Schizosaccharomyces pombe: one gene and its partners. The gene in region 1 interacts genetically with each later gene. Each region holds a gene or a part of one and is shown on either strand. Other genes may lie near its edges.

Region 1 (6,854 bases):
CATGCAAAGCATTAATAACAATCCTTGAAGGCATGCGCTGACAATATACATCATGTACGTAGTCCAATTAGTACCGGGCAACCTGGATAGTAAATATCCGATCAAAAATCCACCCGGAGTTTGCATCATCATCATTGGGATACTAAGGGCACCATGGCTTTGATGGCGTATAGTTTTTATGATTTGAGGAACATACTGAACGACCGCGCAGAATGAAGCGCTAAATCCAAGGAATGCTGCCCAAGCAAAGTTCGAACTAAGGACGGTTGCGGATAGACAGATGATAAACAATCCCCAAGTAAATACACCAAGTAGCCCATAAGATGCTTTTCGCCATTTACGACTTTTCGTTACACTTAAAGGCTCAGGGATTGGTAAACCATTTTCGTCATCTGCTGCAACAAAGTGAATAGGTCGAGGGAGAAACATCCAGAAAGCCATAAGAACACAACCCATAATAAGTACCTGAGAACCCACTTGAATTAAACCGGTTGTGTTAGCAAAGCATTGCTTTTTGGAATAGTAATTTTGACAGCATTCAGTTAAAGGGCTAATTTGTAGAGCAATGACATTTGAGAACGCATTAAGAACACCTATGTAACCCAAAATAAGGTAAGAAAAACTTAAGCCTTGCGAACTTCCGAGACGAACAATGCGAAAGATTTGTAACAGGTAAGAAATGATGAGGCCTATGATAATATACACTGAAAAGATAAAGCTAGCTTTTGTTGCCAAAGGGCACTTCGGTGGTGTATCATCATCAAAAATGAAACTGCTCGTGCTAAACTCCATCGTTCATACGTACTTCGTCTCCTATAATAAAATCGTAATAAAGAAATGCAATACGAAGTTAATTTCTAATGCTTTGTATAAAAATATATAAATAAACGATGCCTGGGCTGCCAATAATGGTACGATGAAGTAAAGGTTGCTAACTTTGGGGCTTATTGAACAAGCGTCACTAAGGAAAGACAATTTAAAATTTCCTTTTGAAATAATTGGTGTTTAATAAATAAGTAAAAGGAAGAATCGCCAAAAAATTGGATTTTTCATTTAATTTTGTCGAAAATGGGGAAAGGAGAGGCAGTGTAAGCTACATTAGTCGGAGGGCTTAGACACAAAGTTGTGAGCTGTAACGTATAATATTGAAATTTTGCGATATTTAAAGTGCTATAAATTTGACATTGGAGAAAATAAATAAGTAAATAAACAATGAATTATAGAAGAAGATAAAAGGAACTGAATGAATTGTATATCTTAATAAACTAGGTAAATTTTTTTCTCTTTTAAAAACATGAGTGAAATGAAATGGCGCTACACATCTAAAAATTGAAATACATCAAGACACTTTACAAAAAAATTTCTAAATTGAATCTAAAATCAAGTTCTTTTGTTTTTAACCCCATTATCTTTTTAAAGATTCTAAATAATCTAAATTAATCGTTTGAACCAAATTTTTTATAGGATATATAACTACATATTTACTTTTTAAATTCTTTTTCATCTTATCATTAAATTCCGAGATTTTTTATTCCAAACAGCAGCTAATAATTATGAAATAACTTAGTTTTTAATTCTCTTATCTTTCTTGAACTTTTCGTCATATTGCAATAAGGATACAAATAAAAAAAAAATTTATTTTTAAAAGAATCTAAGCTTGAAAAGCCATACTATTTACTCTTTTATTGATTTCGAAAATTATTAAATTAAAACCCACTAACTAACCTGTTATTGTTGACATTAAGTATAAAATTTGACTTGGCTGTTCCGTAGCTAATTGTATCATTAATGAAATGACCGAGTTTGCTAAATTAACTCGAGTATATTTTCCTGTAAAGCTTATATTTTGCTTAAATCTGACTCGTTTAACAGCTAGTTTTATTCAAGTTAACAAACATACATTTTTCGAACAGTTTGGTGCAGTCTGCCAATCTTGAACTTGGTAGCAGACAGGATGCGTAGATTATGAAACATTCTAATAAAATTTCAAATGGAATAAAGCCATTATGTTGAATTTCAAGCTTGTTCTATGGTTTAACTACTTTCCATTTTCCTTCTTTCATCAGCTACTAAACAAAAAAATTACCTTATACTTTACTAATATGCTGAAGCCTTCAATGTTTGGGCATGTGATGCAGTGGTAGCATGCTCGCTTTGCATGCGAGTCGTCCTGGGTTCAATCCCCAGCGTGTCCAATATTTTTTTGTAAACTTAGCTACTCTCAGCAAAAATTAGGCCATTCCAATCGAGAGATTTCTTGTATTATATAGTTTAATGATAATCAAATCTCGATGACTCCTCCTTCCCATGCGATGTGGCGCGTTTTTATCCCAGTTGTCATTCCTTGAAATGTTGTGTATAAAACTATGAGTAGTAAACAAACTGTTGTTACAGCTGTATGTTTTTTAACACCCAAAAACCTATCACTATCAACAACTCAAAGAAAAAGAACCCATCTTTAGGAATGCTTAGTAATTTAAGAACGGTGAGAGTTCATGATTTCTTTTTCAGCGAAAAAGTTGTTTGTTATAGAATTACTTTACCGAGATTAAACTTCGTAAAAGCGAATGAAAAGTAAAACAAGCGAAAGTATATTAAGGATATGCGGCGGGATCTCACTGTAGCACGATAGTCTTTACTCACTACTACCACTATTAAGTACGGTGCTTTTTGATCATCAATAAGCAATTCCGTCTGTATCTAAATTACTTTTGTCTGTGTATATTTAGAAGTCAAAACTTTTTGTCATAATGTCAGAAAATTACTCGTTTTCTTTGCGTAAATTTAAGTTGGTTTTTCTCGGTGAGCAGTCAGTTGGCAAAACATCGTTAATTACACGATTTATGTACGATCAGTTTGATAATACTTATCAAGTAAGTAACTATAATTAAAACTTCTTTACTAACAGGGTCCAAGGCTACTATTGGTATAGACTTTCTAAGCAAGACTATGTATTTGGAAGATCGAACGGTTCGTCTTCAACTATGGGATACTGCTGGTCAAGAACGTTTCCGTTCTTTAATTCCTTCGTATATTAGGGATTCTTCTGTTGCTATTATTGTTTACGATATCACTAGTAAGTAATAGTGGCACAGTAATTTTGCCATATATTTTTACTCAGACTTTATTTTCGAATATCTGCTAACTACTTATAGACCATAACTCTTTTGTAAATACTGAGAAATGGATTGAAGATGTTCGTGCTGAGCGGGGAGACGACGTTATAATTGTTCTCGTTGGTAATAAAACGGACTTGGCTGATAAAAGGTATGACACTCCAGCTAACAGAGATTCAGCATTTACAATGCGACATCTCTTCATTCATAATTCCAAAGCTATATTTTGGTTTTTGATGGTTCTTATGCTAACGGTGGTTTAGGCAAGTGACTCAAGAAGAAGGAGAAAAAAAGGCAAAAGAATTAAAAATAATGCACATGGAAACTAGTGCTAAAGCGGGTCACAATGTAAAACTGTTGTTTAGGAAAATTGCACAAATGTTACCAGGCATGGAGAATGTGGAAACACAAAGCACTCAAATGATTGACGTTAGCATTCAGCCTAACGAGAATGAAAGCAGCTGCAATTGCTAGTGTATCTCATTGAACATGTCAGTGTACTCTAACTGTTTCGTGAATTATTTTTTTTCGCTTCAGGCCGCAATCAGCGGTTTTTAATGTCATTTGACCCTCAAAAAGTATACTGTGAGTATATATATATCTTCTTATAGCCCCTAAATCTTTTGCACCTTTAAAGAATCGCGATTCCTTTTATACCTGTTTCCTTTTCCTTCTTTTTTTACTTGTTTTAGTCCTTTTTTATTTTAATCCTGTCTCTATGATATATGCTTTACAAAAGTGAGAAGTTGAATTTCTGAATAAGTCTCTTTCGTTTAATCCCTGCGGTGCTTCTTGACTTTTCAAGGGCATTTGCAAAGAAGGAAAAAAATTACAATGTATGATTTTGGAATTCAGAGAAATGTTATTATTTTTTTTTTTTTAGATTTCGCTTTTTCCCTTTACTCATAAGTTATTTATGCTATGTGAGTCAGTTCAAGGTTTTCATTGAAACAGTAGAACTTTATTTATACTTCAATTTTTTAATTTTATTAAAAGATATGAGGTTTTTTGCCAAAAAAAATTGAATGAACCAAAAAAAAGTTAGCGGATATAACCTCTAGGCCTGCTTTGAATTTATGTTAAGATATTTGTTTATATCAAACTCTGAAAGACTCGGTAACGTCTCACATTGAGAATCAACAATCTCATTCAGCTGATCCCCTACCAAGTTTTTGATGGCAGCATCTGGAACCCAAATGACATGCATTCCTGCAGCCTTTGCACTTTTGACACCGGGAATACTGTCTTCAAAGGCAATGCATTGGCTTGGTGTAAGTGCCTTCAAACCTCGCTGCTTCCTACTTTCATTTATTAAATTCAACACCTTCAGCCAAATGTCTGGAAAAGGTTTGCCACGACCAGGTGCAATACTAGGATTATCACCTGTAATAACATTTTTACCAAATTTCTCAAAAATATGTTTAAGATGGGCTGTCTTCATATTATAATTTGCGGTATTAGAGGAAGTAGCAAGCTGGTGATGCTGTTAGCACACTTTTATTATAGCGTAGGGATGAGTACATACCCCGATATCAATTCCATGATTGGAGAGGTTATTAATCAAAGATTCAGCCCCAGGCATAGGCTTCAAAGACGACCAAAACTTTGCCTTTCAGAAAGTTAGTTGAAATGGAAATAAATGTAGCGTATAAGTACGTACCCGAATAACCTGTTGTTCATCAACGAATTGTTGAGGAGTCATAGGAATGTTGGACCAATCTATAACAACCTTGGCAGCTGCGGAACCCGGTCTCCCTACGTATCGCAAGTTAGACCTGCAATTTTGAAAGCATTTTAAAATATCTCTTCGCTAGCTTTATATAACATACCCATCATTTGAGCCTTAACAGAAATAGGAAGAGGATCCTTGCCATACCTGTCCAATATAAGATCTATAAAAAAAATAAAGATTAGAAAACATTGTAGTTTTGTGCTAAATATAAGCACAGATATATTATTTACATACTGGTCGTCTTTGTATAAATAGTTTCACTGTCGACAAGTAGACCCTGTAAAAAGAGTGATTGTTAATGCAAAAGCTTTCATAAGAGGTAATGTGGTGTGAAAAATAAACATACATCCATATCGAATAGACAAGCCATGTATTTTACGTGTTTAGCAGCCATTTCTAGGTAAAAAGATAGTGAAGCTTCTACGACCTAACAAAACCAAAGAAAAAAAAAAGCAGAAAAAAAACTTCCGGGATATCCAAAAAATCAAGTTTCAAAAAAGTATATTGCTGTATAACCAATAAAAAAGTATAAAATCTTCCAAAACAAGAATTAACAATTAAATATACAAATACAATTAAAGAAAACAAAGACACCGACAAATGAAGTGTTAACTGTATATCTAATTAAAAAAATCCGCGAAAAACCAAAAAATAAGGACAGTTGTTAAAGATCAACAAAGAAACGTCGATACAGTAAGGCGTGATAATTAGGCAGAATGAAAAATAGCTAAATCCCAAAACTGTGCAAACTGCAATAAGTAATCAACAATCGTAGATTAGAGTAAATCCGTGTGTCGGATGATTGGGAGCAATATTGAAGAGTTCGTTAATCTGTTTTAGTGAGAATTCAACCGCACTACTGAAAGAGAATTAAGCGTTTATATTAACCATGAAATTGTAATCCGGTTTTAATGATGCCTTAAGCTGTGGTGAATTTTCCTTGTAATTTACTTATCTATATCGCGGTACCCAGGTAGTGTAAGTTAGCGATTGTTTTGGGATATTTTTCTATGAAGGTGATGAATATTTTGACACTGAGATCGTTCATTTCCAAATTGAATAATACTGGTTCTGTTAGGCTCTCATTATATATCAATGAATAATATCCAGCTGACTATAAGCAATGATGAACCTATCCTGTATCATTTATGTACAGTGAATAGAGAAATAAAACATTTGACATATTGCGATGTATAACAGAATTGAACATAGCGAACAGCTCACGCATTATTCTCGAATCAAGCAGGCAATGATTCGCCCAGGAATCTCATACTAAAACATTGTATAAACAGAAGTTGAGGGAAAAGGAAAAGTCTCAATGACCAGCCATTCTCCCTCATGAAGTATGCTATGTTGAATTTTTTTTGTTTTAATTACTCTCTTTGGTTTTTAAAGCGTTTCTGATAAAGCCACTTGGATTCTGTTCATAAAATGGTGACTAATCAGTTAGCTATTGGAACCCATTTTGGCCATGTATTTTGAAAAGAAGAGCTGGTCAGACAAAATTTACAAGTACAATAGCGACGCACGTTAGCCATGTCGTAGAATCGTGTCAACTATAATGTGAAATTGTTGGACCGAGTGTAGAAAAACAGTCAAAGTTTGTTTTAACCAAGGTCACAAGTACCTCACTGTTAGGCGAGTTGGAGGATCTTTGCCGGATGACGAAAAATATGGATATTTAACACAGCAATAAATAACAAATGCAGATTGCCGTGAGGACAGAAAACAAAGATAAAACATTTTTGAAAGTCTCCTCATGCGGCTCCGGTTACATGGGAATTTGTAGGATTTTGTAATGAGTGCGTCGAGCAAAGCAGTTGAAACGAGTGGATTGTTGAAAGAAGCCAAGTGTAAATAAAAAAAAGGGTAAATACAAAAAAATATCACAAGATTCTATAAAGTATCATAAGACTACTGTCTATATTTTTAGTTAAACTGTTTTCATATTTTTTATTATCTATTTTCTTTATTTTCTCTTTATTTAGTTACAGCCTATTAATTTT
Region 2 (9,922 bases), on another chromosome or scaffold:
TATCTTTTGCTTTGTGTGTTCCTAGCTTTTTCATTTTCTCATTTTTCATTTTAATTAATCATGAAGGCCTGGCTACAATCTAGGTAAGTACAACTGGACATTTGGATTCGATCGCTGCCGAGTGCTTTTTTCTTCGTTTCAGCGAGGATTTGTAATTCAAACGCAAAAGAATGGATTTATACAGTGATTTACAATGTGTATGTTCAATTTTTGGTACTCTTTGGCTTGATTAGAGGTTGTAAAAATATGGACCCCTAAAAACGGATCGAGTGTTTGTCCTATGAATAAAAACGGTAATATAATCGACTAATAATTGGATATCGATATGTATTCACTGACATTTCCTTCATGTTTTCGATTATTTTTTTTGTCTTAAAAATTTTTTTTTAAATTCGATGAGCAAAAAACAAAATTCTTTTTTCTTTTCCGTTTTTTTCATCTATCAGACATCTGCTATTTGAATCCATTTTTTTCGTGTTGTCTTACAAAACATTCAGTTGTCTATTCTAATAACTTGTTTTTACTGTTTTTTATTATTTCTAACTCGATTTTAGCATATCCTACTATACTGGCACAGCGGAACCCGTTTATGGTCCTGAGGCTATCCAACCCGTCACTGCATCCGTTCAGGGCATTAATCCTTTCCATAGGCTTGAAGCCGACGACTTCAAATGGAGCACTCCCTCTTCCAGCCATGTGGAAACGCAAGTCTTTTATATCAAGCCAAATGAGGGTGACTATATGTGCTTTGTTCAATTGATACATTCCAACTTGGGTTCTTGGACAACCACCGCTCAATCTACGTGTCGCATTTTCGATTTGAAGCATCCTGAAAACGATTTGTGGACTTCTACCAACATGGATCAATTTAGCTTTGAAAATGACAAAACCTCCTTTGTCGCCAAAAATTGCTCTGTCGTGTTGGAAGACCAAAAGCGTTACCGAATTCGTGCCTCCATCAACATGGACTCCATCATCGATATAACTGTCCATCAAGACGCTCCTCCTTTTAAAATCGGTGAAGATGGAAATTCTACTTATGGAACAGATCCTAGTAAGCCCTGGGCTTCCATGAAGCATACCTTTTGGCCTCGCACTCGTGTTGAAGGTAGCATCGTTGCAAGGGGTAGAGTTGTGGATGTCACTGGTCCCGGCATGTTTGTTCATGCACTCCAAAATGGCAAACCCCACCATCTTGCTTCATCTTGGGAGTTTGCCCTCTTGCAGCATAAAAAGTTTACCGCCATCATGATGCAGTTCAAGACACCCCCTAGCTATGGTTCTACTATTGTCAATATTGGTGGTATCGCTATGAAAGACAAAATTATTAGTGCAACTGTCGATAATACTATTGAGCACGTTGAGACCACACTCGATCCCGATACGGAATGGCATGAACCCACTCGCATTTCCTACGAATGGGACGGAAAGGATGCTGAAACATACACCGAAGATATTCATCTTTCAGTCGATGCTCCTTTGGGAAGACGTCTTCAACGCATCGACGTTCTTGCCGAGATACCATCTTGGCTTAAGGGTTTCGTCCATGGAGTCTCTGGAACGAAACCTTTCATCTACCAATATTTCTCACCTGTCAAATTTACACTGAAGATGGGTGACGAGGTTATTGAAGATGAAGCCACGCTTTTTAATGAGACTACTTTTATTTCATAAGCATCTTTTAACAAAAATATTCAAGCATAAATAATTCGATGCATTTTGGGCTTAAACAAAGAGTGAACGTGCATCCATCTTTTTTTCAGAGCTTTTCTATATTAAACTCTCTGGTTTTGTATTCTTTTTTTCCTTTTTTTTGTCCTGTTGTTTTTAATTTCGTGTCTTCGAATTTTTTTTTCATACTATTTTTCGTTTTATTAAAATAACTTCATATAGACTTATCACTTATACTCTGAACTTGATAGTTGTGCTGCTCTCATATTGAATATGATTCTTGTTAATGGTCTTGTGCTACAAGCTCTGAAATTCATTCGTTCTCTTGTTTGTGTACTAAATCGATCTTGTCATCCTAATACCTATACTGATGGACATGGGCAAGGCATCTGGCAAAATTGTGCATTCGCTTATGTTTATTGAAAGACTGCAGTCTGTGTAAACGAGCGAGAATGTTTTAAAATTTTTTAAAAATTTGAATACTTTTCATTTTAGAGACTTCAAATAATATTGTTTTCATCATTAAGTGGATACTAATTAGCAACTTCTCAACTTCTATTTTATTTAAAAAACTAATTCATTGTAAATGTTGTATTGGTTTTCTACGAAAGCAGTTTTTCTATTATTGATAATTTCGCTTTTACCACTTTATAATAAAAAAGTATTGTATGTTTAATGTTTTCTAATATTTTTTTAATAAGTTTTCCTATGTTCCGATAAGAGCAGGCAGTGAACGCGTAAACAGATATATATGTATGTATTTATTATTAAAATATTATGTAAATAATTCTTAAAAAACCGAATCATTCTAGCATAAAGCATTGGAAACCAGTAATTCAACGTAACTGAATTTCACGGATTTACAAGCAAGTCGTACAGTCCTTTCTTCATTCAATAATATTGATTTAATAATAATATGTATATGCAATTTTCCTTTTTTTTTTTTTTTTTTTTTTAAACATTTTAAAATAAAGCATAGGCGTTTAATCATTTTTTATTAAAGTGCGTAACTTATGTTGTAAAAAACTACCACCTACTTTTCTCTTAAAACACCAGAATCTATAAGTGTAATGATTCCCCTTAACAACGAATTTAGAAGCTATCAATAGTATTGCGTCTGTTTTTATCAATCTCACAAACAATTATAGGAAGTATTCTGCTCGTGTGATTGTTCTTTTTCTTCTGGTAAAGATGAACATATGCATGTTTATTTGAATAGCTTAGGATTCATTATTTTTTAAGAGACAAATTTCTCGTCAATTGAATGAAACCTTCCGCCTTTATTTTCTTTTTGAATGGATATTTCAAGTTTTCTACTTCCTCAACTTTTACGTAAATATCAACAAGATGTGTATAATATCGCGAGCAAGCAAAATACTTTACTTGTTATGAGAACGGGCGCTGGTAAGACATTACTTGCTGTGAAGTTGATAAAACAAAAGCTCGAGGAGCAAATTTTAATCCAAGAATCAAATCTTGAACATAAAAAAATATCAGTTTTTCTCGTCAACAAAGTCCCTTTGGTATTTCAACAAGCGGAATACATTCGATCTCAACTACCGGCTAAGGTTGGCATGTTTTATGGCGAATTATCTATAGAAATGAGCGAGCAGTTGTTGACTAATATTATATTGAAGTATAATGTGATTGTTATTACTGCAGATTTGTTCTATTTGTTTCTTGCAAGAGGTTTTCTTTCAATAAATGATTTGAATTTAATTATATTCGACGAATGTCATCATGCAATTGGAAATGATGCGTATGCTCGCATCATGAATGATTTTTATCACAGAGCCAAAGCAGTATTGTCAAAAAAACATTTCACCCTACCAAGAATTTTTGGTATGACTGCTTCACCATTCACTGGAAAAAAAGGAAACTTATACCATCGACTGTATCAATGGGAGCAATTATTTGATTCTAAAGCACACGTGGTTTCGGAAAACGAGCTAGCCGATTACTTCTGTCTTCCCGAAGAAAGCTATGTAATGTATTCCAATAAGTTGGTTGTGCCACCCTCGGATTCTATTATCAAGAAATGCGAGGAAACTCTTCAAGGATGCAAGTTAATTTCTCGGGCTGTTAAGACTGCTTTAGCAGAAACCATAGATATGGGTCTTTGGTTTGGGGAGCAAGTTTGGTTATATTTGGTTGATTTTGTGGAAACGAAAAGATTAAAAAAAAAGGCTTTAGGGAAGCAGTTGTCAGATGACGAGGAACTGGCAATTGACCGGTTAAAAATATTTGTTGAAGATTGGAAAAATAACAAATATTCAGACAATGGCCCTAGAATCCCTGTTTTTGATTCCACTGATGTTACTGATAAAGTCTTTAAACTCTTAGAATTGTTAAAGGCTACTTACCGCAAAAGTGATAGCGTTCGTACGGTTATTTTCGTTGAAAGAAAAGCTACGGCGTTTACTTTAAGTTTGTTTATGAAAACTCTTAATCTGCCTAACATCCGCGCTCATTCTTTTATAGGACATGGACCGTCCGATCAGGGTGAATTTTCTATGACATTCAGGAGGCAAAAAGATACCCTTCATAAGTTTAAGACTGGAAAATATAATGTTTTAATTGCTACTGCAGTTGCAGAAGAAGGTATCGATGTACCATCATGTAACTTAGTTATACGCTTCAATATTTGTCGGACTGTCACCCAGTATGTCCAATCTCGAGGTAGAGCGAGAGCAATGGCTTCAAAGTTTCTAATTTTTTTAAACACAGAAGAGTTGTTAATTCATGAACGCATTCTACACGAAGAAAAAAATCTTAAATTTGCCCTTTCAGAGCTCAGCAATTCGAATATTTTTGATTCATTGGTATGTGAGGAAAGAGAACGTGTGACTGATGATATCGTCTATGAAGTTGGCGAGACTGGTGCTTTACTCACAGGGTTGTATGCAGTTAGTCTGCTTTATAACTTTTGTAACACACTTTCAAGAGACGTATACACAAGATATTATCCCACTTTTACAGCTCAACCCTGTCTTTCAGGTTGGTATTGTTTTGAGGTAGAATTGCCAAAAGCCTGCAAAGTTCCAGCGGCTCAAGGATCTCCCGCTAAATCAATTAGGAAAGCCAAACAGAATGCTGCGTTCATCATGTGTTTGGATCTGATTCGTATGGGTCTTATAGACAAACATTTAAAACCCCTAGATTTTAGAAGAAAAATTGCCGACCTTGAAACTCTTGAGGAAGACGAGCTAAAAGATGAAGGTTATATCGAGACATATGAGCGCTATGTACCAAAAAGTTGGATGAAAGTTCCTGAAGATATTACACGTTGCTTCGTCTCTTTACTTTATACTGATGCTAATGAAGGAGACAATCATATATTCCATCCCTTAGTGTTTGTACAAGCTCATTCATTCCCCAAAATTGATAGCTTTATTCTTAATTCGACTGTTGGCCCCCGAGTTAAAATTGTTTTAGAAACGATTGAGGATAGTTTTAAGATCGATTCTCATCTGCTTGAGTTGTTAAAAAAATCAACTCGTTATCTACTTCAATTCGGTTTATCTACTTCTCTTGAGCAACAAATACCTACTCCTTACTGGCTTGCGCCTTTAAATTTGTCATGCACGGATTACCGGTTCTTAGAAAATCTGATAGATGTTGACACTATCCAAAATTTTTTTAAATTACCGGAACCTGTTCAAAATGTTACTGATTTGCAATCCGATACTGTATTATTAGTAAATCCACAGTCAATATATGAACAGTATGCTTTTGAGGGATTTGTCAATTCTGAATTTATGATTCCTGCTAAAAAGAAAGATAAGGCCCCTTCTGCCTTATGTAAGAAACTTCCTTTACGATTAAATTATTCACTTTGGGGCAATAGAGCTAAATCCATTCCCAAATCACAGCAAGTGCGCAGTTTTTATATCAATGACCTCTATATTCTCCCAGTCTCTAGACATTTGAAAAACAGCGCCTTGCTAATACCCTCCATACTGTACCATATTGAAAACTTATTGGTCGCCTCTTCTTTTATCGAACACTTTCGACTTGATTGTAAAATTGACACTGCTTGTCAGGCTTTAACATCTGCGGAATCACAATTGAATTTTGATTACGATCGTCTAGAGTTTTACGGAGACTGCTTTCTAAAATTGGGTGCTTCTATTACAGTTTTTTTGAAATTTCCTGATACTCAAGAGTACCAACTGCATTTTAATCGAAAGAAAATTATTAGCAACTGTAATTTGTATAAAGTAGCAATAGATTGTGAGTTGCCGAAGTATGCTCTCTCGACTCCCTTGGAAATCCGTCATTGGTGTCCATATGGTTTTCAGAAAAGCACATCGGATAAGTGCCGCTACGCCGTTTTACAGAAATTATCGGTTAAGAGGATAGCAGATATGGTCGAAGCTAGTATCGGTGCATGTCTTTTAGACAGTGGACTTGACTCAGCACTCAAGATCTGTAAATCTTTAAGCGTTGGTCTGCTGGATATCAGCAATTGGGATGAGTGGAACAATTATTTTGATTTAAATACATATGCGGATTCACTGAGAAATGTTCAATTCCCTTACTCCTCGTATATAGAGGAAACTATTGGATATTCATTTAAAAACAAGAAACTACTCCATTTGGCATTTATTCATCCTTCCATGATGTCTCAGCAAGGTATTTACGAAAACTATCAACAGTTGGAGTTTTTGGGTGATGCTGTATTGGATTACATTATCGTACAATACCTTTATAAAAAGTATCCTAACGCAACTTCTGGCGAATTAACTGATTACAAATCTTTTTATGTGTGTAACAAGAGTCTATCATACATTGGCTTTGTTTTGAATTTGCACAAATATATCCAACATGAAAGCGCAGCAATGTGTGATGCAATATTTGAATATCAAGAATTAATTGAAGCGTTCAGGGAGACTGCTTCAGAGAATCCGTGGTTCTGGTTTGAAATTGATTCACCAAAGTTCATTTCAGATACTTTAGAAGCTATGATATGTGCCATTTTTTTGGATTCTGGGTTTAGTTTACAATCTCTACAATTCGTTTTACCTCTTTTTCTTAATTCGTTAGGGGATGCGACACATACTAAGGCTAAAGGAGATATTGAACACAAGGTATACCAATTACTGAAAGATCAGGGATGTGAAGACTTCGGAACAAAGTGTGTCATCGAGGAGGTGAAATCCAGTCACAAAACATTGTTAAATACTGAACTCCATTTAACAAAGTATTATGGGTTTTCATTCTTCCGCCACGGGAATATTGTTGCTTACGGCAAATCCCGTAAAGTTGCCAATGCAAAGTATATTATGAAACAAAGACTTCTCAAATTGTTAGAGGATAAGTCTAACTTACTTTTGTATTCTTGTAATTGCAAATTTAGTAAGAAAAAGCCATCAGATGAGCAAATAAAAGGAGATGGAAAAGTTAAAAGTTTGACTTGAGACTTGAAATATACAGTATTTCATTTTTTATGACCGCGGCCCTTGTAACTTTTCAAACTTTCAATTTGGGTCTCCAAAGCACGGATCCTTTCGTGATATTCAGAAAGTTCCGAATTCAAAGCATCTCGAGTTTCAATCATTTTCTCTTCTTTGGCCTGAAAGAAGCTTTCAGTTTCATTAGTCATTTGTGTTATCTTTTGTTGAATCGCACGTTTCTCATTGTTCAAGCGTTCGTAATGCTCTTTTTTCAGCTTAGGAATGCCACTCTTTCGATTCGTAAGCTGCTCTCTACGATATCGTTCATAGATGTTGGTTTCAGTTGTATTTATAAGCTCGAGCATATGCCTATTAATTAGCAATTTCTTCAATTTTAAAAAATCACAATGTGTTTCTTCATATATTTCAGAGGTTCCCCATGGGTAACGACGCCCTTGCGATTTTTCCCCATCGTCTTTGCAAACTTCATTTACACTGGAAATGATAGCGTAAGGTAAGGATGAATCTAGTAATTCGGCAGTTTCGTAATCAGAATACTCTGTTGATGGATGGAAAACGTCGATTGATTGAGCTTCCAGGATCCTTCTAATTTTTTGCTTTATTTGTGTTAATTCGGGAGTTGTAAATGTATCTGCCTTTGCTATTACTGGCACAAGGTTTACATGGGTCGATAGCTCCTTCATAGCTAACACATCTAAAGGAAGCATTCCAAACGAAACTGGCGTAATAAAGTAGAGACAAACGTGGACTCTAGTGTCTTTCCTTGGTACACGGAGAGAGTTTTGATCATGAATTAGATACCTTTCGTGTTGTTCGTCTAAATATTCTGCAACCGTATTCCAGCAACTGGTATTGTCAATGAAATCACCGAACCCTGGGGTGTCGAGCACCGTAAGATTGATATGAAAACCATCTTCTTCAATTACGGCCTTATTCTTTTTAACTTCTAAGGTCTTTTTGGCTATGGTCTCCTTAGCCGTTTCATATGATTTTTCTGGTTGCAAAGAAGTAGCAAAAAGAGTATTGAAGAACGTTGTTTTTCCAGTACCTGAGGCTCCGCAAAGCATGATTGTTAAACCACATTCTTTTCTTTTTATTAAATTTTCTCTGTGGTATATTTGTTAATGAATGATTTATGAATTTATGACTAGATTGTAACGATAACATACCTTTTGGATGGTAGACTATCCAAATTTAATAATAATTGAAGGTTTTCAGTCAAAGACATCGTAAAAATTTATTTCTCGAACTATCTGTATTTTGCTCTTTAGTAGGTTCAGGTTTGTTTCAAACAGCGTTTATCAGCGAAATATAAACAAACAACCGAATGTCCAGTGATAAAAAGCACAGATAAATAAATAAATATGCCTCATCAAAAATTTTTAAATATACAAATTAAATTATCTACATAGAAGACTTTTAATTCTTTTTCACATCTTGTACCAAAATACTTTCATAATCCTGGTTTACCAGAGTTGAAACAAGAATACAAATAAAAACGATGCTCAAATTTACTAGCTCTTTAATCATTAGAAGAATAAACATTAATTTTTAAGACTAAATATGAACTTCTGTTGAATTAACTGCCTTGATCCAAAAAAAACACAAAACGTAAATTGTACTTTTTTTTATTTTTAAGACAGTCATATTCCAATGAATAAAACCATACAATAATGTACATTTTCTTTGACAGTGTCAAGGATCGAATAGAATTAAGTTTTCTTTGAAGAAACATTATTCAAAAAAGTATCTACACCAAAAGGATCAGCAATATCTTTCTCGAAAGTGACGGGGCCAGCACGAGACTAAGAAAAGTTAGTATTTAAGTAAAAGTATAAGATATTGAAACATACCTCTACGACTTCATCCGATCCTTTGAACTTTTTATGCGCATTTCCTAGTACATCATAACGACTTTCACTAGTAATACGTTCCAATTCTGCAGATGCATCAACTTGACGGGACAAAGTAGCACCCGGTCTATATAACGTTGATGAAGGTGCCGCCCGCCACGGTTTATCATACACATTGTAACTGTCTTCGTCTTGAAATCCGGATCCTAAGCCAGAAGCCTGATTAAATAATCTACTATCGATCATTGTATCGCTTGACATTGATGGTTTTGAAAGTCCTAAAGCAACCCTTTCAGCGACATCACGAGGTCGATCTTTTTCAGCAAGCTTAGCACGTTTTTCAGCACCCATTCGACTGAGACGAAGATCCTTTTCAGCTTGGCGTCTTCGCTCGCGGCGAAGTTCTTGACGACGGCGAAAAGCTTCTGAATCCTCATCTTCATTTTCTGACTCTGAATGATGCGAGAACGATCCAGCTCTGGAACGACTTCTTTCTTCAGAGGAGACAGAAGTAGAGCGGGGTTTTGCATGTGAAGGACCCGAAGAAGCCGCATTTCTACCCATACGATCTTCCCTTGCTTTTTGAGCAAGCATAAATAAACGTTGCTCCTTTTCCTGCTTTTCCTTTTCAGCCATCTTTTGGCGCATTATGGCACGATATCGGACCTCTTCACGAGCTTGACGCTCCACCGTGTACAATGCTTCAGAAAATTTGGCAAATCCATCGTTGATTTCAACATCATTAAGACCACGACCATCAGCGGCCAGCCGCTTATCCAATGGAATAGTGTAGCCTTTCGGATTTTTCCAATTAGAAATACTCGGAGGTATTTGCCAATCTTGTTGTTCTTGAGCAGAAACTTTTCGTGGAGGAGAATGCAAGACGGGAGGAGGAGGAGAAGGTGGTCCACGAGGAACCTTTTTGTGACGGAATTTTGGTGGTTCCATGGGATCCTGTTCAGCTGTGACCATTTTGATAAT
Region 3 (7,824 bases), 3.3 Mb from region 1:
TTCCGTGAATTTATGGAGAATTTAGAGCATCGTTATGAAATGACAGTTAGCGAAGTTAGGAGATTATCGCATGAAGTGAATGATTTACAGACTGATCGGGAGAATTTAAAACATCAGTTCGAGGATCAAATTGAAAAGCTGAACTCTGAAATAAGTAATCAAAACAGTTTAATTCTACAGAAAAAAGATGAGCTAGAAAAGTCAATACAAAGATGCTCGGAACTTGAAGAGAAGATTAATTCGTTGGAAAGTGCACAATCCATTGAGCAGGAGGTTATTTCCAGTTTGAAAGATGATAAAACAGTAGAGACAAAAAATGACGTTCCCGAAGTTTCAAGGCCCTCAACTGATACTATAGGTGTCAGCAGTGCTTTATCAAAGAAGAAGAAGAAAAGGAATCGTAAAAATCAAAAGAAAAAGTCAACTAAACAAAATATAGAAGCGACTACAGAGAATGATGCGCTTTCCGAGTCCATTAGTACGCCTGACATACAAAAGGTAGCACAAAGTGAAGATGTAGATGCAGAACAAGATACAGTTGCCGATAGTAAAGAAGAGGAACGAAGAGACATAGCTAATGATGATTTGATTGTTAATGCCAATGCCAAGGAACCAATGCATCATTTTTCTTTCACTGATTTAGATACATTATTGAACTGGCCGAAATATGTGTTTCATCACCATAAAATACACCTAGCAGATACCATTCCTTTGGTTTTTTTGGATTTGAAACCGAAAGAGTATACCGTAGATTTAGAAACGCCAAAGCTTGTTGAAGAACTTACTAAGCAGTTACATGTTGCCGAAAGTACTTTAAAGGAAAACTCGGAAAAATTTAAGCAGAACTCTGAAAGTTTGAAGTCTAGAGTTGATAACTTAAACGATTATATTACAAAGTTGCAAAACGAAATTGACGAATGCAGAAGAAATTTACTGTGGGCAGAATCGTCATGTGAAACAATACGAGAAGAAAATCAAAAGAATATTAAAAAACTGAACGATGCTGAATCACTCAAAAGTAGGTTACTTCAATCCCGAACGCAGATGCAGACAGAACTTGATTCTTACATCACATCTAATAGTCAGCTTAAAGACGAAATTACTTCTTTGAAACAAACAGTCTCCGAGAGTGAAGCAGAACGGAAAAGACTATTCTCCAGTGCACAGGAAAAGCAACTTCAAATGAAAGAGACGGTAAATAAACTTACCTCATTACAAGAACAAAACAATGAGTTCGACCGTCAACTGAAAGAACAGGAGGAAGATTTGCAAAACAAAGAGGAAGAACTGACTGAACTTCGTAAATTACTCCGTGAACAAACGCAGGATAGTCAGAAATTACGTTTATTAGTTGAGCAATTGGAATTGGAACGTCAAGATTTGAAGCAGGCTGGTGAAAACCATTACTCGAACCTATCTTCTGATTACGAAACTCAGATTAAAAGCTTAGAATCCAGTCTGACTAACTCCCAAGCTGAATGCGTTAGTTTCCAGGAGAAAATTAATGAACTAAATTCTCAAATAGATGAACTGAAACTTAAGTTGAATGAAGCTAATAAAAAGTATCAGGAGCTGGCCATTTCTTTTGAAAACTCCAACGTGAAAACTCAATCAGTTGAGCCCGATAACGGTTTATCGTTGGAGGCCCTGAAGAATGAAAATCAAACACTTCTCAAGAATTTGGAAGATTCGACAGCACGATACGAACACCTGCAAAAGTCATTCAAAAATGTGTTCAATCAACTACGTAAGCAACAACCTTCTAACCATGGGAGAAACAGTTCTGTAAGCCGCTCTTCTTCGTCAGTGGAAGTTAATTCTAAGCATCCTGGCTCGGATGACATGCTAATAGATAAGGAATACACACGCAACATTCTTTTCCAATTTCTCGAACAGAGGGATCGTCGGCCTGAAATTGTGAACTTGCTGTCGATTTTGTTAGATTTGTCTGAAGAACAAAAGCAAAAGCTTTTGTCTGTGAAATATTAATGTGGTAAAATTTTCATTCCGTTTTACTGCTTTTTTCTCTTTCTTTGTATTATTCATCATATTGTTAATGTCCATTACGATGTGGAACATTTGTTTGATTTTGTATGCCGCTTTCCATTCTTGGCAGTGATTTCACGCGATAATATCTTTTGGAAGGGTATGCTATTATAATGTTAATAACGGTCTTTTGCATAGAACCCACGAATTCAAATACGTTTTTTTTTTTTGCGAATAATTAATTAAACCAATCAAGTTCTTTGTCTTGTTTTTGAAATCTTGAACCGAGCTTAGGTCTATTCGATTTATAATTAACTTTTTTCAAACCTCTCATTTAGGGAAATGAATAGGAAATCATGTACCAATGAATGAATTGAAGCCTTATTGTAATTTTATAGCTGATGGCTAATCTATTGTACAATTTGACAATACTTTCGTTAACAAAGCAGAGCATAATTTGCCATTCCTAAAGTAAAAATGGACTAGAAGCTTTTTCCTAGATTACTGCATTCGTTTGACATCTAGTAAATAAAATATCAGCTCCATTATACAATAATATAAGTATCCTTCAATTGATATGCAAGTTGCAAATTAACAAATTGCGAAATTATTATTTAACGAATTAAGTTGTTCCTTTTGTTGCACTTTTTAACGAAAATGGTGGTAGAACATCAGCGTCAACTGTTGATCCTTACGTTCTCAAAGGGTTCAGCATCCTTGGAAATGGTTAAACTCCTTGTCGAATAAGGTGAACTATTCATGTACTTCCTTCATGGAACACCTCAGAGAATACAATTGTCCTCCAGAGCAATACAAATATGTCGAATCCCTAAAGTGTCGTTCTTCGTTGTTTTGACTGAAACCGAGATTTTAATATATCAAATTCGACCCTTGACACTCATATCAAAGATAACAAAGTCTCAGAACTTATTTGAACGTCATGGAAAGAACAAAAAAATAGCTGTTAACTCTGAATACGGAATTATAGCGGTTGCAACTGAAAAGAACTATGTAGCTGTCTATCATTTCACTTTAAATGCTTCCAAGCCTGTACTAACGCCAAGTCCTTATTTAACTCGATACGATGATGGACCTGGCGAAATATTTGGGCCTATAAAGTGTGAAATCCAATACAAGCTTGCTATGCGATATGGAGGTGGGCTTAAATGCCTGGAGATTCAAAGGGACTCCATCGTTTATGCTGCAGATTCTGCACCAATTATTCAGGTTTCAACGCTGGAAACAACTGACCCTAATAAGTTGTGGAAAGTGTCAAGTAAACAGTACGATTTACGAGAAGTCACTTGGTTTCTGGATCATTCTTCTCTCATATCTCGACTCTATTTCGATGTTAAAATCGACACTTTCTTTTGGATGTCAACTGATGGAAGAGTTTATGCCAATATCGGTGTTTCTTCCAACACGAATACGAAAAGTCTGTTTGGCCTTTGCGTACATAACCCTGTAGATTTGAATAAGTCAGATAATGACAAGGACATTAATGAGGACCTGGAATCCAAGCTTAGAGAAAAGAAGGCGACTGTTTTATCTACAAATGCCAGATTTTCTCTTTTATATGTTGGTACCGCCGATGGAACTGTGTATGCTTATGAAATACGAGATTTCGGTCGCCAATATGTTCAAACTCATTCTTTTAAATATTCGGCAAGCTCCGGAAAGGTTAATCATATTGCTACGACAGGTGATGGCCATCAAGTTATGGTTGGATACGATGACGGTTGGGCTACACTGTCTCCTTATCTCAACTTGTGTTGTGCTAGTAGTGAAACTGAATATTTTAATTTTGGGTTATCCTGTGGCTTTTGGGATAGAGATAGTTCTTCCTTTTATGGACTAGGATCTAAAAATTTTTCTTCTACAGGTGAAGCTGAGGGAACGGGATTATCTACTCCGATTATCGCCGAATCCTTAAAAGAAAACGACGAGTTTTTTGCTATGGAAAAAGAGAACGTTGATATCCAGTATTTGTCACAAAACGACAATACAAATGATGTCTTATATAGTATTACGGATTCTAAACAATTTATTAGCACTATTTATATTTTACCTTTTTTAAAGAGCACCATAGTTTCAAGTGTACAAAGCACCTTGCAAGTTTGTGGAGCTCAAACTAGCGATCGGTTATATATTTCGAAGTCATATGAATTTTGTTCTAGCGTTAAAAACAATTTTGGCATTGACTTTTGGGATCAAGTTGAGTATCCTCAACCATATGTTGCTTCTGAATGGCCTATTAGATATGTTTCTATCAAAGATGATGGAAGTTTGATAGCAATCGCTGGGCTTCATGGATTAGCTATATATGTTTGCTCAAAAAAGACCTGGTTCTTATATAAAGATGCCAATATGGAACAATTAATCAGTGTTACTTGTCCAATGATTTGGTGCTCACAATTTTTGCTAGCCGGTGTTGTTTGCGAGTCCAACTTTGAGCTACACCTATACAAAGCAAAAGGGCCTTTAGACGATAGAGAAAACTTGGCTAAATTATCGTTTACTTCAACAATTGTGACAATGTCAGTCTGCGACGAATATTCTTTGGTTGTCTATACAGCTGATAATTTCCTCCATCACATCAGATTCGATATAAACGAATTAGGAAGATTAGAACTCGACTATTTAACATCCGTAAATTTTGCTCCAATATTCACTACTCCATCCAGAGTTCGAAGCATAACGTTATTACTACCAAAAGACCTTGCAAATATTCAACCTTCTGATTTACTTTTTTATGCAGTCCTTCTGGTTCTCATTAATGGAAAACTTGTTTTGTTAAGTCTAAAAAAACAACATTCTAAAGAGCTTTTATATCAGTGCAGCATGCTAGCGGGAGACGTTGAGTTTTACTTTATCAATGGAAGTCAAGAAATCCCTTCATTATTTCATTCTATATGGATCATGACGGGAAAGGGACTTAAGCTATGGTTATCTTTTAGCGAGATCCTTTCCTCTGTTTTGATAAATACTAAAAACCTTATAGATGGCCTTCCAAAGTTTCTCAATACATCAAAAAGAGTATCTCTAGAAAATTTTCATCGTTTATCTGTTGAAGACCTCAGATCGCCCAGCTTTGTCTACAAAAATGGGGTTGATTGTAACTTTGATAACACACATCTTGCTAAATTGATTAAAAATGTAAATATTTCTGAAAAGTTTCAAAAGGAATGTATAGATCTGGAATCTCAGGGATGTTTGCTGACTGTATTAAGCAATTATGGACTTCTATTAACTGCTTATACCCAGGGTCATAAAAACTTAGTTAATAAGATGGAATACGCTCATATCCAAATAGGTGTTTATCCATTCCTTCCGGAAATTGTTCGAGCACTATTACTGTTAGATAAACGTGAGCAAGCTATTGACTTAGTCAAGACATATGGGCACTTGCATTATATCAATTTTGTGTTAGAAAAATTACTTTCTTCATCATTATTGACCTACAACTCATCACAGCGAGATAAATTGCTTTATGAAGTATCCTTATTATTTAAAGACTTGCAAGAGTTTACCACTTTTAAAATCGTTCTGGGTTGCCTGCGAAAAACTGAAGCTGAATACTGGCCGATGATATTTAAGTATTTCGGAGAACCAAAAGACTTAATGAAAAAGTGTTTAGAAACAGAAGATGTTAAAAGTGCCGCAGAGTGTTTGATAATATGGCAGATCCATCAGGGTTCAGCCAGTTGTGCTTCTACCTTTCTAAGTATATACGAAATGGCTTTAAAAATAAAAAACTGGGACGTTTGTACGGAGTTATCTAGCTACCTGGTGAGTCTGGATCCCGAAAAACGTTTACTGAAGACAGCGCTGGAACTTCTCGATGAAGGGCCTGATTCCAAGGACATTCGTCTTTACGATCAATTTAACAATTTGATGAAAGAAGTGGATAAATATTAACCACAGTATATGTCATGATCAAAACTAAATTATTAAAGCAATTATCAAAGTAAAAAAAGAGGTTCAAAGCTGAATAAGCATAAAAGGTTTTAGCTTCAATGATGATTAGAAGTTTGAAAATTACGCTCTTAGATAAAAGGAGCTGATGCTTCGGGAAAAATCTAAAAACGTAAAAGTTCATTCTAGTAAAAACTGTCATAGCTATAATGTAAATAAAATTTTTTGCCTTGGTGATTATGGGACTTCGAAGAATCGGGTGAACTTCTATTGTTAATGAAGATTAAGCAAAATGCCTTTAAGTTATTGCCAGTTTATTTTTTGATTCAGCTTCGGCTCCCTGTAAACGCTTTTTTTGCTTTTCTTTGTATACATCTTGTTTTTTAAAGGTAGCAGAATAGCTATGTACTTTGAAACCAAAAATACGTGGAATGTAGCGTTCTTGAGATTTAGGGACCGCAAGTTCAGGGTATACCTGAAAAAGCATGTGAGGGAATGAGGTTCCAAAATATGCACCATCAATGGATGCATGTCTTTGTGATTTTGGTGTGTACACATCCTCACACCGAGGACAGTATAATTTAACGGATTTTGTATGGGCAATATCCGACAAGCCGACGGGCAACATTGGCTGTCCGTTGCATAAAACTCTAGGGCAATGCCCAAAGTCACATTTTTTGTATTTCTCAAGCTAGAAAGGATGTTAGTCAAAATCCAAAGCTAATTAAAACGAAATAGTACGGTATGACATAAATGTAATAAAATTGAAGAATTGAAAGATAAGTCAAGTTACACACTTAGTGTCCATTATACTTGTCTAATGCCTGTTTTGTTCACGAAGATTGTATCCAAACTTAAAAACAGGAAACTAGAAGTTTACAAACATAATTGCTTACCATTTTATATAAACCCTGAGCCGTTAAGATATAACGGGCGTGAATAAGGCCGTACAAATGACGAGCACTAGCTTCTACCTCATCTTGTACTTCCTCTGGTAAATCAGGATCCAATACATCTAAAATGAGGTCTAAAGACTGGGAGTAGTGTGGAACTTCATGACTCAATCCAGTCAAATTAAAGCGATCCTGGATGAAGTCTTCGTCGACTTCGCAAAAAAATTCGTTTCCTTTTAGTCCTAAAAACCAATCAACCCAATATTGAGAATCATCGGATTCACTGCAATTAATGATTAATAAACGGTCCAATATGGCCAAAATGTAAAATATTTTTTTATTTAACCCTAATTTGCACAAACCTTTCCGAAGAGTATAGCTGCATGCTTCGTTCCGATTTACGTTGAAAAGCTGCACCAAAAATCCTAATTGCTTAATGCAAAATTTGATTTCCGTTTCAGCCTTAGCAGCTTCTAATATATGGAAAATTTGAAGAGAAGTACGTTGTCGTATCGTAGTCTTTCTGGAGCTCCGGTGTTTTCCTTCATTCTACACTAAAGGAATGAAAAACTAATTAGCGTGTTACTAGAAATTCAATTTGCTGCACTTCGGTATGTTATCTAGCACTTAAACGTTTATGCACTGGGATGCACTATAGTAGCACAATAGTTCATTCTATTAAAACTGCTTTAGCAACAAAAATGAAATATTTAGCGTTCCATCTGCTACAAAGCAACTTCTATTTTGTTATTGCTGTGTTATTTACATTATACTTGATGTTGTACCTTTTAAGGAATAATACAGGTGTGACAGTGACACTTTGTAGAATGATATAGCTATCATTGTAGTTAAGTCTCTAATATTGTACTGCTTAATAAGAAGTCGCAATAGATAAAACGTTGGTTCAATTGGAAATTTGAACAAACAAACTGTTCTCGCTTCGAATCCACAGTGAATTATATAAATTACTATGGCTTGCGTTTCTCGAGATTCGTACTTAGGGAATCTTGCAATATACATAACCAGCTAC

What was found. A genetic interaction does not mean that the proteins touch.
Region 2: mutations in ryh1 (region 1) and dcr1 together harm fitness more than expected from each alone (negative genetic interaction), as found in Schizosaccharomyces pombe (3 studies listed by BioGRID, with this or other methods).
Region 3: of ryh1 (region 1) and ric1, extra expression of one rescues a mutant of the other (dosage rescue), as found in Schizosaccharomyces pombe (2 studies listed by BioGRID).

What each region holds. Positions count from the first base shown.
Region 1 is NC_003424.3:1,190,933-1,197,786, reverse strand, and holds ryh1 (Rab family GTPase Ryh1), read left to right. Parts: upstream 1-2,641; 5' UTR 2,642-2,750; coding exon 2,751-2,873; exon of another isoform or gene 2,874-2,916; coding exon 2,917-3,076; intron 3,077-3,153; exon of another isoform or gene 3,154-3,155; coding exon 3,156-3,267; exon of another isoform or gene 3,268-3,379; coding exon 3,380-3,590; 3' UTR 3,591-4,173; coding exon of another isoform or gene 4,174-4,590; 3' UTR 4,591-4,641; coding exon of another isoform or gene 4,642-4,725; 3' UTR 4,726-4,776; coding exon of another isoform or gene 4,777-4,871; 3' UTR 4,872-4,945; coding exon of another isoform or gene 4,946-5,008; 3' UTR 5,009-5,082; downstream 5,083-6,854. Other genes in the region: SPOM_SPAC4C5.03 (multispanning membrane protein, CTNS/PQ domain protein), read right to left, coding at 1-792; pseudouridine-5'-phosphatase Pud1, read right to left, coding at 4,174-4,590, 4,642-4,725, 4,777-4,871, 4,946-5,008, 5,083-5,125, 5,195-5,242. UniProt on the Schizosaccharomyces pombe protein: Has a role in retrograde traffricking of proteins from the endosome to the Golgi. Involved in protein transport to the plasma membrane. Involved in the secretory pathway where it has a role in acid phosphatase secretion.
Region 2 is NC_003421.2:1,503,335-1,513,256, reverse strand, and holds dcr1 (dicer), read left to right. Parts: upstream 1-2,699; 5' UTR 2,700-2,966; coding exon 2,967-7,091; 3' UTR 7,092-7,111; coding exon of another isoform or gene 7,112-8,195; 3' UTR 8,196-8,257; downstream 8,258-9,922. Other genes in the region: ER to Golgi ceramide transport protein, lipocalin superfamily Svf1, read left to right, coding at 61-83, 555-1,674; septin Spn6, read right to left, coding at 7,112-8,195, 8,258-8,316; Prp19 complex subunit Prp45, read right to left, coding at 8,801-8,893, 8,942-9,922. UniProt on the Schizosaccharomyces pombe protein: Required for G1 arrest and mating in response to nitrogen starvation. Ago1 regulation of cytokinesis and cell cycle checkpoints occurs downstream of dcr1. Required, indirectly, for regulated hyperphosphorylation of cdc2.
Region 3 is NC_003424.3:4,501,763-4,509,586, reverse strand, and holds ric1 (Rab-specific(Ryh1/Ypt6) Ric1-Rgp1 guanyl-nucleotide exchange factor subunit Ric1/Sat4), read left to right. Parts: upstream 1-2,705; 5' UTR 2,706-2,745; coding exon 2,746-5,904; 3' UTR 5,905-6,101; downstream 6,102-7,824. Other genes in the region: grp1 (GRIP domain-containing protein), read left to right, coding at 1-1,989; CK2 family regulatory subunit Ckb1, read right to left, coding at 6,200-6,592, 6,798-7,077, 7,157-7,179. UniProt on the Schizosaccharomyces pombe protein: Probable component of a guanine nucleotide exchange factor (GEF) that may be required for efficient fusion of endosome-derived vesicles with the Golgi.